Drosophila melanogaster: one gene and its partners. The protein of the gene in region 2 binds, or shares a complex with, the protein of the main gene of each other region. Each region holds a gene or a part of one and is shown on either strand. Other genes may lie near its edges.

Evidence for each region. Proteins that work in one complex are often made in the same cells at the same time.
Region 1: msd1 (region 2) and dgt3 share a complex: the UniProt entries of both Drosophila melanogaster proteins name them as parts of the augmin complex.
Region 3: msd1 (region 2) and dgt4 share a complex: the UniProt entries of both Drosophila melanogaster proteins name them as parts of the augmin complex.

The regions. Positions count from the first base shown.
Region 1 is NT_033778.4:20,991,477-20,996,473, forward strand, and holds dgt3 (dim gamma-tubulin 3), read right to left. Parts: upstream 2,906-4,997; 5' UTR 2,848-2,905; coding exon 2,830-2,847; intron 2,779-2,829; coding exon 2,450-2,778; intron 2,388-2,449; coding exon 2,025-2,387; intron 1,964-2,024; coding exon 1,298-1,963; intron 1,239-1,297; coding exon 1,061-1,238; intron 997-1,060; coding exon 853-996; 3' UTR 800-852; downstream 1-799. Other genes in the region: Prosalpha3 (proteasome alpha3 subunit), read left to right, coding at 3,515-3,517, 3,627-3,832, 3,970-4,555. UniProt on the Drosophila melanogaster protein: As part of the augmin complex, plays a role in centrosome-independent generation of spindle microtubules. The complex is required for mitotic spindle assembly through its involvement in localizing gamma-tubulin to spindle microtubules.
Region 2 is NT_037436.4:1,329,678-1,333,016, reverse strand, and holds msd1 (mitotic spindle density 1), read right to left. Parts: upstream 1,274-3,339; 5' UTR 1,236-1,273; coding exon 1,199-1,235; intron 1,144-1,198; coding exon 764-1,143; 3' UTR 691-763; downstream 1-690. Other genes in the region: msd5 (mitotic spindle density 5), read left to right, coding at 1-665; ND-ACP (NADH dehydrogenase (ubiquinone) acyl carrier protein), read right to left, coding at 1,558-1,737, 1,847-1,975, 2,068-2,154, 2,727-2,876. UniProt on the Drosophila melanogaster protein: As part of the augmin complex, plays a role in centrosome-independent generation of spindle microtubules.
Region 3 is NC_004354.4:4,111,776-4,115,728, reverse strand, and holds dgt4 (dim gamma-tubulin 4), read right to left. Parts: upstream 2,029-3,953; 5' UTR 1,794-2,028; intron 1,666-1,793; 5' UTR 1,502-1,665; coding exon 935-1,501; 3' UTR 801-934; downstream 1-800. Other genes in the region: Tip60 (Tat interactive protein 60kDa), read left to right, coding at 1-409, 515-727, 800-800; Nsun2 (NOP2-Sun domain family, member 2), read left to right, coding at 2,125-2,184, 2,262-3,953. UniProt on the Drosophila melanogaster protein: As part of the augmin complex, plays a role in centrosome-independent generation of spindle microtubules. The complex is required for mitotic spindle assembly through its involvement in localizing gamma-tubulin to spindle microtubules.

The sequences.
Region 1 (4,997 bases), on a different chromosome or scaffold from region 2:
CTTCAAATTCGCCGAGCAGCACTTGAGTTTTAAGGGTCACATATAAATTTGAAATTAATTCAAATAGCACTAAGGGGTAATGAGTTGCGAGTAATTATCCATTTAAAGCTTTAAAATGTTCCACTTCTTTGCTGTACTCCTTTAAATTTAAAGTCCTTAAAGCAGTCCAAATATTTAATGTTTTGTAGAAGCACTTTTTAAGGTTTATTTGACTAAAAAAACACACTTTGCACAAACACTTCACTTTATCCAATTGTATTACCGGAAGTCACGAGGGGAAAGATGGCCCGAAGCACGATAATCGAGTGAACCAGTGGCCACAACTGTTGGTCCTTTTATATCCGCAAGGACCTCTGCTCGGCAAAACTCGTCCTGCAGCCCGAATGCCGGCAGCCAATGAGAGTCCTGCAAATCGGCGGGCAAATGACTTCGTCTGCACGGAAAGTGAATCTCTAGGTTAGGCGAACAAGGTTTTATGGCCTCACTTGTTGCTCCTTGGCCAAATCTGAATGGTAATCGCTTGGAAACGCCGTCGCGTGCCGCCAGCAATTAATGCGTCTCTTTGGTGGCACTCGTGTAGACTGCTTTAAGACGATGCTGCCTTAATACGCCCGGTGTTTAGTGAACCCAAATCTGATAGCCCAGGGAAAAGGCATTTCAAAGGGGGGAAAACAATTACCAAAGTCGTAAGCAAAAGTAAATCATGTTGCTGCCTAAGAATCTTTACATACACACATTATACAGCATCCCTAAATTTAGTGTATTGACTTATTATTAGACTAGCAACGCCGTAATGTTTATTTTTGAATAATTTAACATTTATTTACTGACCAGATTCTAAATCAACTAAGTTCACTTGCGGTGCAGACCACCACCTGGACGAATTACTGCAGCGGCTGCCTTTTTGACCTCATCAATTGCATGCATCATGCGCTGCGGCTCAGTGAGAAACCAAATCCACAGGACTACGCTATAGCGATACAGTTTATCCCGCTCCTAAAAGGATAAACAACATTAAAATGTTATATTCCATGATTTTATAGTTAATTAGTATACTTACAATGCGCCCCACGACATTTTCCAGGAAATCTTTTCGCAAGGAACGCCCTGACTCATCCAGGCGAGTTTGCTGCTGGGTGACATTGTATATGGCGCTCAAGTAGCGAACGTTCTCAAACATGGGCTGCTCCAATGGGGAATCATAGACAAACGGCCGCAAAGTCTGCTCCAAGCGCTTGCTAAAAAAAAATATTAATAGCTTAAACGATCTGTATCAAAGTTAAGTATTGCAACTTACAGTTCTGCCAGTTGATCCTGAACAGCAGCACACGACTTTCGGTTCAGCATGCTCTGAAAGGAGTAAGACAGCAGGCGACCGAACTTTTCGTATTCGAAGAGACAAGCCTTGGCCTCAGTTGCCTTTATGTTCTGTCCCAAGTGGGCTGACAACAAATTGGCAATCTCCTGCACAAACTGGGCACAAATGCCCTGATAACTGGCGTTAATGGAGCGCATGGTCTGGATTCTTTGCCAAGTGGCCTGCGCTTGGTCGCGCAACTCCTCCGAAGTGTCCAGGCAGTTGCGCTTCTTGTCGCAGTCCAGTTGGATCGCAATCCACAGCAATTCCGCATTGGACAGAGCATCTGAGATGATTTTAGTGAGCTTCTTGTCGCTTTCATGACGTCGAACAGCTCTTTCCAACTTCAGTTTAGTGTTCTCGTAGAGAACCAGCTCAATACGTCGCTGGGTGTGCTGCTGAATGTGAATGGTTAGATCGTTTAAAAGCGTATCGTGTGTATTGCTCAGTTGATAGTCGTTGAGCAGCTGCAGATCGTGCATTTCACGCGCCATGTCCGTTAAACTGAGGCAGTGAATCTTGCCAAGATCCAACTGGTCAATAAGACACTGCGTGGCCTTCACCTTGGCCTTTGTTCTTATGTAGGATAGTGCATAAAACTGGATGCTGTAAAAACGGTCATATCAATTAATGTGCATTGTTTTTAGCACAGAACCTTTGTGCTTACCCACGTTCCAAGTCCTCCAGCTTGGCCTTTTCGCGCCCAAGATCTTCCTCCGCGCTCTGGAACTCATCATAGTCCTGGATCTTAAAATTCTCCTTCACATACAGAGTAAAGTATTGCATAAATGAATCGCATTTGTGGAAATACTGCTCCAATGGCAGTTGATGCATGAATAGAGGCGGCAACTGTGGGGCGGTGAATGCCTTTTTGGCTTCGGCGCTTAGCCGGCAGTTCTCCTGCTGCAGTTCCTCCAGTTGCTTGGCTTTGGACTGGCACTCGGCTATCAGATCCTTCTCCCTCAGTTGCAACTCGGCGGTGACGCACTCCACCTCGCCTAGGTGCTTAGTTATCGAGTGCTTTGTGGTCCTGCAAAAGTGGATTGACCATCGATCGAACATATATGAGGAAGGTTACAGTTTTTCCCTTACATCATATCTTCCAGAAGCGTAGCATAATCCCTTGAGGCATCTTCGATCGCCTCAATGCTCATGGTCAAGGCGTCGACATCCTGCTGCTTGTAGTTGAGAAGCCCCGGACTTTCGGCCTCGATTTGCAGGAGCTTGAGCTCGCGATCCGAAGCACTTAGCCACTCGCCCCGCCGCTGCATCTCCTCCCGCTCCAGAACCTGTCGCTCTGTGAGGATATTTGCATCCGTGATGTTCCCGGACAGGAACTTGAAGAACATCTCCATCTGCTCATCGTACAGAATCCACTGGTTCGAGCTGTCCACTCCCAGCTTCTTGAAGAATTCCGAGTTCTGCAATCATGGCGATTATAAGCTGATCATTAATTAAATCATCACACATACGCTCAGCAGATCGCCCATCTTTTAAAAAAATGACAACACAAGCTGATTACTTATCGGTTATATCGAAAGGTTTCAGAGACGTTACTAGAGATGGTACCTTTTGAAAATTAACAGGAAATAGTGCTTAATAATTAAGCTTAATAAAAATCGTAGAAATTCCTGATTTCCTATCAACGATTTCATGAAATATTTACTCTTATCTATTTCTGTTAAATATATATATATATAATATATATAATATATATATATATATATATATATATATATAATATATATAATATATATATATATATATATATATATATAATAAATTTCTGTTTATTATATATATATATTTTATATATGAATTATTTTAAATTTTTGCTATGAAGTAAGGATACAATTTTTCTAAATTTGACACAAGTTCTTAAGTTTAATTCAAGTAAATATTATGTTTTAGTACACCTCAATCTTAAAGGGCTTATAAATTGATCTTTGTTAAAATGATTTTAATACCTTATATCGATATGTGGATAAACGTGCACACCACCCCTGGTAAATAGAAACACCCTAACGCCATCTAGTTTGCAGCCCTGGTACCGCTTTGGACGCACTTCGTGTGGCAGTCTGGCAACCCTACACTGAATGACAAGTAAATTCTGTTCGTTTTGCAAAATAAACTTGTAAATTGGTATATTCCTTAGCAATGGTAAGTACCGCGCCCAGAAGACCGGTATTGGTCTGAGAGCCACCATTGGGCCGATGACCATTGAAGGCTAGCAATCGTGGTAGTAATTGACTTGCGTGTATTTTCCCAGGCTCGCCGCTATGATTCCCGCACCACGATCTTCTCGCCGGAGGGCCGTTTGTACCAGGTGGAGTACGCCATGGAGGCCATCTCGCACGCCGGAACCTGCCTCGGAATCCTCGCCGAGGACGGCATCCTGTTGGCAGCCGAGTGCCGCAGCACAAACAAATTGCTGGACAGCGCCATTCCTTCGGAGAAGATCTATCGCCTGAACGAGTGAGTTGAAATTTCAGTAGTATATCCTACGATGAATTCAAGGGTCACAGGCCATATATTTAACTGGCCATGATCTTAATTACCCACTACATTCTCTACGAATCTATCTCTATCCAAGCCTCTTTGTTTTCCCTCAGCAACATGGTCTGCTCGGTGGCTGGCATCACCTCCGATGCCAATGTGCTGACCTCAGAACTGCGTCTGATTGCCCAGCGTTACCAGTTCAGCTACGGCGAGGTGATTCCCTGCGAGCAGCTGGTGTCGCACCTCTGCGACATCAAACAGGCGTACACTCAGTACGGCGGAAAGCGTCCCTTCGGCGTCTCGCTGCTCTACATGGGATGGGACAACAAGTACGGCTACCAACTGTACCAGTCGGATCCCAGCGGCAACTACGGCGGATGGAAGGCCACCTGTATTGGCAACAACTTCGGTGCCGCGATCTCCATGCTGAAGCAGGAGCTGGCCGATAAGGAGAACGTGAAGCTGACGCTGGCGGACGCCAAGGATTTGGCCATCAAGGTACTGAGCATGACCCTGGACACCACCAAGCTGACCCCGGAGAAGGTCGAGATGGCCACGCTGCAGCGTGTGGACAATAAGACCGTATACAGTGTCCTGGAGAAACCCGATGTGGAGAAGCTGATCGAGAAGTACACAAAGGTACAGGCGGAGGCCGAGGCTGCCAAGAAGGAGAAGCAAGCGAAGCAGCCGACCAAGTAATCCCAAGGATGCATTATTATTGATTAAGGGTCTATCCTGATTTTTGTAACCGATGTACGGAGTGTGTGAAATAAAATTTCAAAAAACAAAAACCCACTATCATTGTGCCAATAGGGATGGCCGATTAATCGATAACAGTGCCATTGCCATTCGCAGCGAAGAGCTGCTAAATATGGCCAGCGACGGGCAGTCACTAAAAAAATACCGTACAAAACATTTTGAGAAAAATTCCGTCGCTTTTTATTTGCTGTTGCTGTTATAAAAAATTCAATTATACTTGCTAAACTAACGGTTAATCGGTTTCTGCAAAGGGGCTTATGCGTAATTGGAGAGTGCGCGCAAAACGCGTGGTGAATACGGATTGGAAAACCATTTTTCATACGCAGCAAACAGGCAATGAGCGCGCGTGTGTGTGTGTGCCACAGAAAGTTGCAAGCAGCCT
Region 2 (3,339 bases):
CGGTGATGAAACCGGGGGCCTTCTTTGACAGCCTGCAGCAGATGATGGAGGAGGAGGCAGCAGCCACTACGCCCCCGAGGGATCTTAGCTCGGTAGCCGACTATGCGGAGCTCTTCAAGACCTTGGAAGAGTACCCGGCCAACCTGCAGAAAATGCCCAAGAAGCGGGAGCTACAACGTACCAACTCAACGCTCCTGCGAGGAGCAGACGAGTCGGTGGCCATGGGCATCAACACATCCAACGTTTCGCTGAGTCTGACGCGTCTGGAGGAGCAGCGCAGTGCCGTGGACGTGTACAATGATTTTAAGGGTTTCCAGCGAAAGCTGGCCAAGATCTACGACGAGGCAGCCGCTCTGGACACCACAGAATCCATATACAAGCAGAAGCTGACGCAGCTCCATGGATTTGCGCAGCAGCTGGAAAAGCTCATGCCAACCGGCGGTGAGTCTCCGCCAGATGCTTTTACATCCGAGCAGCAGGAGAAGCTTCTGACCATAGCCGCCAATATGGAACAGCTCAACTACCTGCGCTCCAACAGCCTCCAGCTGCCCAATCCCAATGAGATACTCGCCACCGGGAGTCTTGCCGCTCGCCTGGAGATGTTCGTAGAGGTGCTTACCTATACGCTTCTCCAAGTCAGCAGCTACAATATGGCCATGATTTGAAAACCTCGCTTAAAGAGCTTTAAATACAAATCAAATGTTTAATTTATTTAAATTATTTTTCAACTATAACATAATAATAAATTCTAAAAATGGATGAGCTAGGGGGAATCCTCGCTGGCATACTGCTCTTCCTGTGAGTTCTTCATCTGGCCCACGGTGTCGTAGAGCGCCACCAGCTTACGCACGGAGCTGCCAAGGTGCTCCACGCGATGCCTGTAGGCCAGGCAGCCCTCCAGAGCGCTGTATGTCTCCTCCCGCTGGTCACTGCTAGACATGAGCAGCTTGAAGTTCTCCAGGATCTTGGACAGGGTCATCTCAGCCTCCGGCCTGAGGTTGTACATCTTCTGGGTCTCCGACAAAGCCACATTCTGACTGAATGCCTTGCTGTTGGACTCGATGTGGAGCAATGTGTTGTTCGACCGCTCCATTATCTCGTCTATCTTAGCCAGCTGGCGGTTCATGGTCTGCCGATTGGCCGCTGAAATTGGAAGCACGGAATAGAACGCGTGTCGGTGGTTTAAAGATATATTTACCCATTCCCGCCAACATTTTGTCCACAGCGTCTGACATTTCGAATATTCTGTTTGTAATGCTAGCAGATTAACGTGACCGTCGCTGCGTATCTAAAATACACAAGGCTTTCTAAAACAATCGAAAGACCAACGTTTCTATCGAAATTTAAATTTAACCGCCAGTACTAAATGACTCGTTTATTTATTTGGATAGTTAATTTATTAGCTGCTATTCCGCAGTTAATTATAGCCCTCGTGTACAATTGCTGACTACAAGTTAATTTAACGTTTGGTTTATTCAGTTGATCAAATTGTATTTGACTTGTTTTCTATTTAAATTTAAGTGTAATCCGTTCAATGGCTTGCATTACAATTACAATTTACTCGTACACATCCTCCTTGTCGGCGACGTACTTAATAATGTCGGCAGGTTTAAGCAGCTTCTCGGCATCAGAGTCGGGGATCTCGAAACCGAACTCGTCCTCCATGGCCATGATGACCTCCACGTGGTCCAAGGAATCCAGTCCCAAGTCGTTGATGAAGTGCGACTCAACGTTGAGCTGTAAATGCGAGCCATTAGCATTGGGTATTCAAAGGTTTCATCAGCTTTGTTCAGTTCTGATTTCTGAGGCGACCATTGCACTGGCAAAGGCAATATGTGGCGTTTACCTTGCTGGGATCGATCTTGTCGTAGAGCTTGAGCACAAGCAAGACGCGCTCATTGATCAGCTTCAGCGAGAGCGGCGGTTTCGCCGAGTATCTGCGCACCAATTGCGTTTGCCAGCGACCACGGCACTCCTGGTTTTTGGCCGGCCCGAGAAAAAAAGGAAGGAAACAAAGACCGGATTAGTGGCGCCATGCAATGGGTACTTTACCTTTTCGGCGGTCACTTTGTCGTAGGCGGAGACAACCTTTAGCACGCGGAACTTGATGTCCTCGATGGTGCTCTTGGCCGAGTAGCTGCGCACACCGAACTTCTGCGAATGTTAATGTCTAGTGAATTTTCGTCTCTATATGAATAATTGCATTGGTAGTTCATCTACGACTTATGGTGCATACAACTTAGCTAATTCTTCAATGAGCAGTGTAAATATATACGCAATTTAAACGAGGGTGGTTCGATGGTGTATGATCAACTGATTAAATACCGCGAAAACTATTGCTTGGATTGGCGTGGAAACATATTTAGATATTTAACAAACTGAAATCACATGTTTTAAAACCGCTACATTTTAAGGTCACTTCTAGAGGATTTTCACTGTAGTACAATCAACCGCACACAAGTGCGAGCACCGGTGTTGCAGGTGTATGTGTGTGTGTGTGCGATAGGGAAACAATCATGTTTTATGCAAAATAATGTGATGCAATCGAATTGGGTGGTTCGACGGCCACATGGCGAGGATCTTCTGTTGCGTTCATGATTGCAAGCACTTAATTGAATGTTTTGAAACTCGTAGATCACGAAACCCCGCCGTTTGCGATGAGGTTAGGTCCTCAACTGCGATTGGGGCTCCTGCAACGGAAGGGACCGCTTTGGACGTTCGCTTACTTGGCTCAACTGGCTGGTCATCGATGGCACGGCGATCCTGTGCATCATCCTGGAGGCCTGTGATTGGATGAGAATGCCGGAGGCGACCCTCCTTGGGGCCAAAGTGGCCGCCAGTCGACTGCAGCTGCGCGCGATCTGTGTGAACGACATCTCGGTTCTCCTGCAACGGAAACGCAGCGGGTTAGTATCGCATCTCTGCAGACGGTGCACGAGTGCAGGTCTCGTATTTTGGGCGATATTTACGCTGAGTTTTCAAGATTATGTAAAAGTGCTGGAGCAAGAAAAAGACAGCAAGGTAGCAGTGTGACCGTATGCGCAATGTACTAAGCTGTTTCTCAACTTACGCAAATAAATACTAAAAATACTTAATACTTGAATAATGAGTAAGTAACTTTCCCAACTATAATTTACAGTTAAATAATTGTTAGTGGTATATTAATTCACATGAATTTCAGTAGTAACGTTAGCTGAAATCTTCTTTTGTGAGTTGGGCACGACTTTAACGAGATTTTTAAAGTCTGGAGCACCGAACTGACGTTTCAAAGCAAAGTTATCGACTGCTGCTTTTGCCAATCGAGTGGGCGGTTCTTTTTGAAAGAAACGATATAAGAGA
Region 3 (3,953 bases), on a different chromosome or scaffold from region 2:
GCAAAAACAAGGTGTATGCCCAGAACTTGTGCCTGCTTGCCAAACTCTTTCTCGACCACAAGACACTCTACTATGATACCGATCCGTTTCTCTTCTACGTAATGACAGAGTTCGACTCGCGCGGCTTCCACATAGTAGGGTACTTCTCCAAGGAGAAGGAGAGCACAGAGGACTACAACGTGGCCTGCATTCTCACAATGCCTCCGTATCAGCGCAAGGGCTACGGCAAGCTGCTCATTGAGTTCAGCTACGAGTTGTCCAAGTTCGAGGGCAAGACGGGATCGCCGGAGAAACCATTGTCTGATCTGGGTTTGCTGTCCTATCGATCGTACTGGGCGCAAACCATACTGGAGATCTTTATCAGCCAAAACCCGAGCACGGACGGCGAAAAGCCCACTATAACTATAAAGTATGGCTAGTTCTAAGCTTAAAGTAATACAATTTTCAATCCACAGAGATTGTGCTTCATTGCCGAAACATAGATTAATCATGCTCCCAAAATTTTTCTTCACAGCGACATCTGCGAATGCACATCCATCAAAAAAGAGGACGTGATCTCAACGCTGCAGAACCTGAACCTGATCAACTACTACAAGGGCCAGTACATCGTGTGCATCAACCGGGTTATCATCGAGCAACACCGGCGAGCAATGGACAAGCGCAAGATCCGCATCGACTCGAAATGCCTGCACTGGACACCCAAAGACTGGTCCAAGCGCTCCAAATGGTAATCTCCTCATCTTCTCCGTATAAATAACTGAGTTTAAACAGCTTTGAATCCGTTTTTTTTTGTTTTTAGATTTCCGCTACCAATATTCTTCATCGGATGATCCTGGCTTCGTTGTAGCTTGTAGTTTTCATTTACAGTTTCCGTTTTTAATGTTATAAACTAGTTTATATCATACAATATTATATATACTTTTGAGACGACCGGCTAGTTGTTTGTTTCCCGCGGTGGGAGAAGATCCTCCACAAGGCGGTCCATTGCCTGTATCATGCCCATCTCCATACCATTCTCCAATCCATCGACGGCGGTACGCAAACTTCTTAGAGCTTCTTGGTTCTGGGCGAACTCCCGTTGTTGCCGGCATAGATTTAGGCGCGGTTTGTGGGTGGTGTTCAGATGTTCCAGGCACTGCTTCACATCGTTGGAGTCCAGAATGGCGGGACGCAGATCACTGCCCAGTTTGGATCGCAAACTAGCGATATCCTTGGCCGCCTGGTCGACTTGATTCACATCAGATACACGATGGGCATCCACGGCCGCCTGCAGGGCTCCGCACTTCAGGAGCCTCGCCAGCCGCCCAAAGTCCCGCTGATACTCACACTTGGCGTCCAGCCAAATGCGTACTTGCTCCTCCACCTGGCGCTTTACATTGCGGCTGTCTTCCTGAAAACGGCGCATCGCCTCCAGGTGCAGCAGGTATTGGATGTCGTCCATGGTGCCCTCAGTTGTCAATGATGGCGGTGTGGTCGTGGTGGGAGTGGGTGGAGTTTCCATAGTGGCTTACAAAAACTTCTTAGTTTTTAAAGTGGGAAATTCGGATTCGATTGCCGACGCTATCGCTTTCGCAGCTGCTATCGGTAGCATTTGAAGTCGGCTAACGGAGATTTTTGTAACGATAGGCGCGTAGCTATGTTCGAGTCAAATTTGGCTATTAATAACTATATAAAAAAAAAATGAAAATAATTCGAAAATGTAAATAACAACAAGATATGTAGGTTTCCTTACATAAACTAACAGGTTTTTAAAGTTTCTAGAAAACTGAAATAAGTTGTTTGATTTTGCTTACCGATAGTTGGGAAACCAGCTCTTATTGATTTTGGGGCTAAAAATGTAAGCCATGCAAATGAAGTTAACGTTTAAAAACAAGTCAATTCCTTGCAGCACGGAAACCAAGTACTGTAAAAAGTAATTCCCTTTCAATTCAATTTCACTTCTTTAGCAGCATATTTCACCTTCCCTTCCAAGCACCAAATGTCCGGCGACTCTCGCGCGACAGCGTTGCCAGTTAGGCGACGAACACGTTTTAACTATTCGTTTCGTTTAGAAAACACACAACGCTTGCCTAATTTTTTTTAAACATATTCAGTGGACTGATAACTTGGTATTGATATTGACAAATGGGTCGAAACCAGAAGCAAAATTTTTTCGCGGCTCGCAAACGTCAAAAGCGGGAGAATGTGAGTCACCTCAATTTGAAAGGAGAAACATTCCACGTTTTTGGATTTTATTCTTAAATATATTTTTTATCTTAAAGGGTCCCAAGCGCACCGATCGTCAGGCCCAGCCGTATGAGGAGATCAAAAGGGATAATGCCTTCTTCATCAAGTACTACCAACTGCAGAAGATCTGCGCCACCGATGAGGAGTGGACGCAGTTCCTTGCTTCCATCAGGGACAATCTGCCCACTACTTTCCGTGTGACAGGATTCAAGGACGAGGCCAAAGCCCTGCTATCCATTATTGAGACGCAGCTATTCACCGAGTATGTGAGGGCGGTGGCCGAGCTGCACCAGAAGGCGCCCGAGGATGTGGAACGTCCGCTGTGCCTGCCGTGGTATCCAAACGGACTGGCCTACCAGCTGCACCTTACCCGCAAGGACATTCGACGCTCGGAGCCGCTCTACCGGCTGCACAACTTCCTAATTGTGGAGACCACGGCGGGCGGCATCAGCAGGCAGGAGGCCGTATCCATGATCCCGCCAATTGTCCTGGATGTCCGACCCACGGACAAAGTTTTGGACATGTGTGCTGCGCCAGGTTCGAAGACAGCCCAGCTCATTGAGGCTCTGCACGCTGCTCCCGAGGAGCACAAGATTCCGCCCGGCTTTGTGCTGGCCAACGATGTAGACAACAATCGGTGCTACATGCTGGTTCACCAAGCCAAGCGTCTAAACTCGCCCTGCCTGTTGGTGACCAACCACGACAGCAGTGTCTTTCCCAATCTCGTGACCACGAAGCCGGACGGCTCAAAGGCGATCCTTAAGTTCGATAAGATCTTGTGCGATGTACCTTGCTCCGGCGACGGCACACTGCGCAAGAATCCAGACATTTGGCTGAAGTGGAACCTGGCACAGGCCTACAACCTCCACGGCATTCAATACCGCATCGTACGTCGTGGCGCTGAGATGCTGGAGGTTGGCGGAAGGCTGGTGTACTCCACCTGCTCACTGAATCCCATCGAGAACGAGGCGGTGCTGCAGCGGATCATAAAGGATGCCGACGGTGCATTGGAGCTGGTGGATGCGGGGCACTTGGTGCCAGGTCTTAAGTACAAGCCCGGCATGACCGACTGGAAGCTGGCCACCAAGGAGGTGGACCAGATCTTTACCCGCTTTGAGGAAGTGCCTGAAAGCCTGCACACTATAATACGGCCCGGTATGTTCCCTCTGCCGGCCGACGAGATGGCCAAGATCGGGTTGGAGAAGTGCCTCCGCGTATTGCCGCATCTCCAGGACAGCGGCGGCTTCTTTGTAGCCGTGTTGGAGAAGCGTCGTCAGCTAAGCTTCGAAAAGAACGATGTGGTGGAGCTGGTAAAGCTGAACGAGACGGCCAAGCAGCCTGCAGCTGAGCCGCAAGTGGACGCGGATGGCAAGCCCATCGAGGAGAAGTCCGTTCCGTGGGGACCGCAGCGAAAGAAGCGACGTCTGCATGGCTACAAGGAAGATCCTTATGTCTTCTTCGGCGAGAATGATCCTGACTACCAGGCGATCAAGGAGTTCTACCAGCTGGACGAATCCCTTAGTCAACGATGTCTCTTAACTCGCTGTGTCACGGAGAAAAAGAAGAACATCTATTACTGCTCTGAACCCATCCGCGATTTGGTGCTTAACAACGAAAACAACATTAAGATCATCAACACGGGCGTTAAGACATTCGTGCGCTGCGAGAACCGGCATACGGTGCATCCCTTCCGATTGGCCCAGGAGGGCCTCCAGACCTCCAATGCC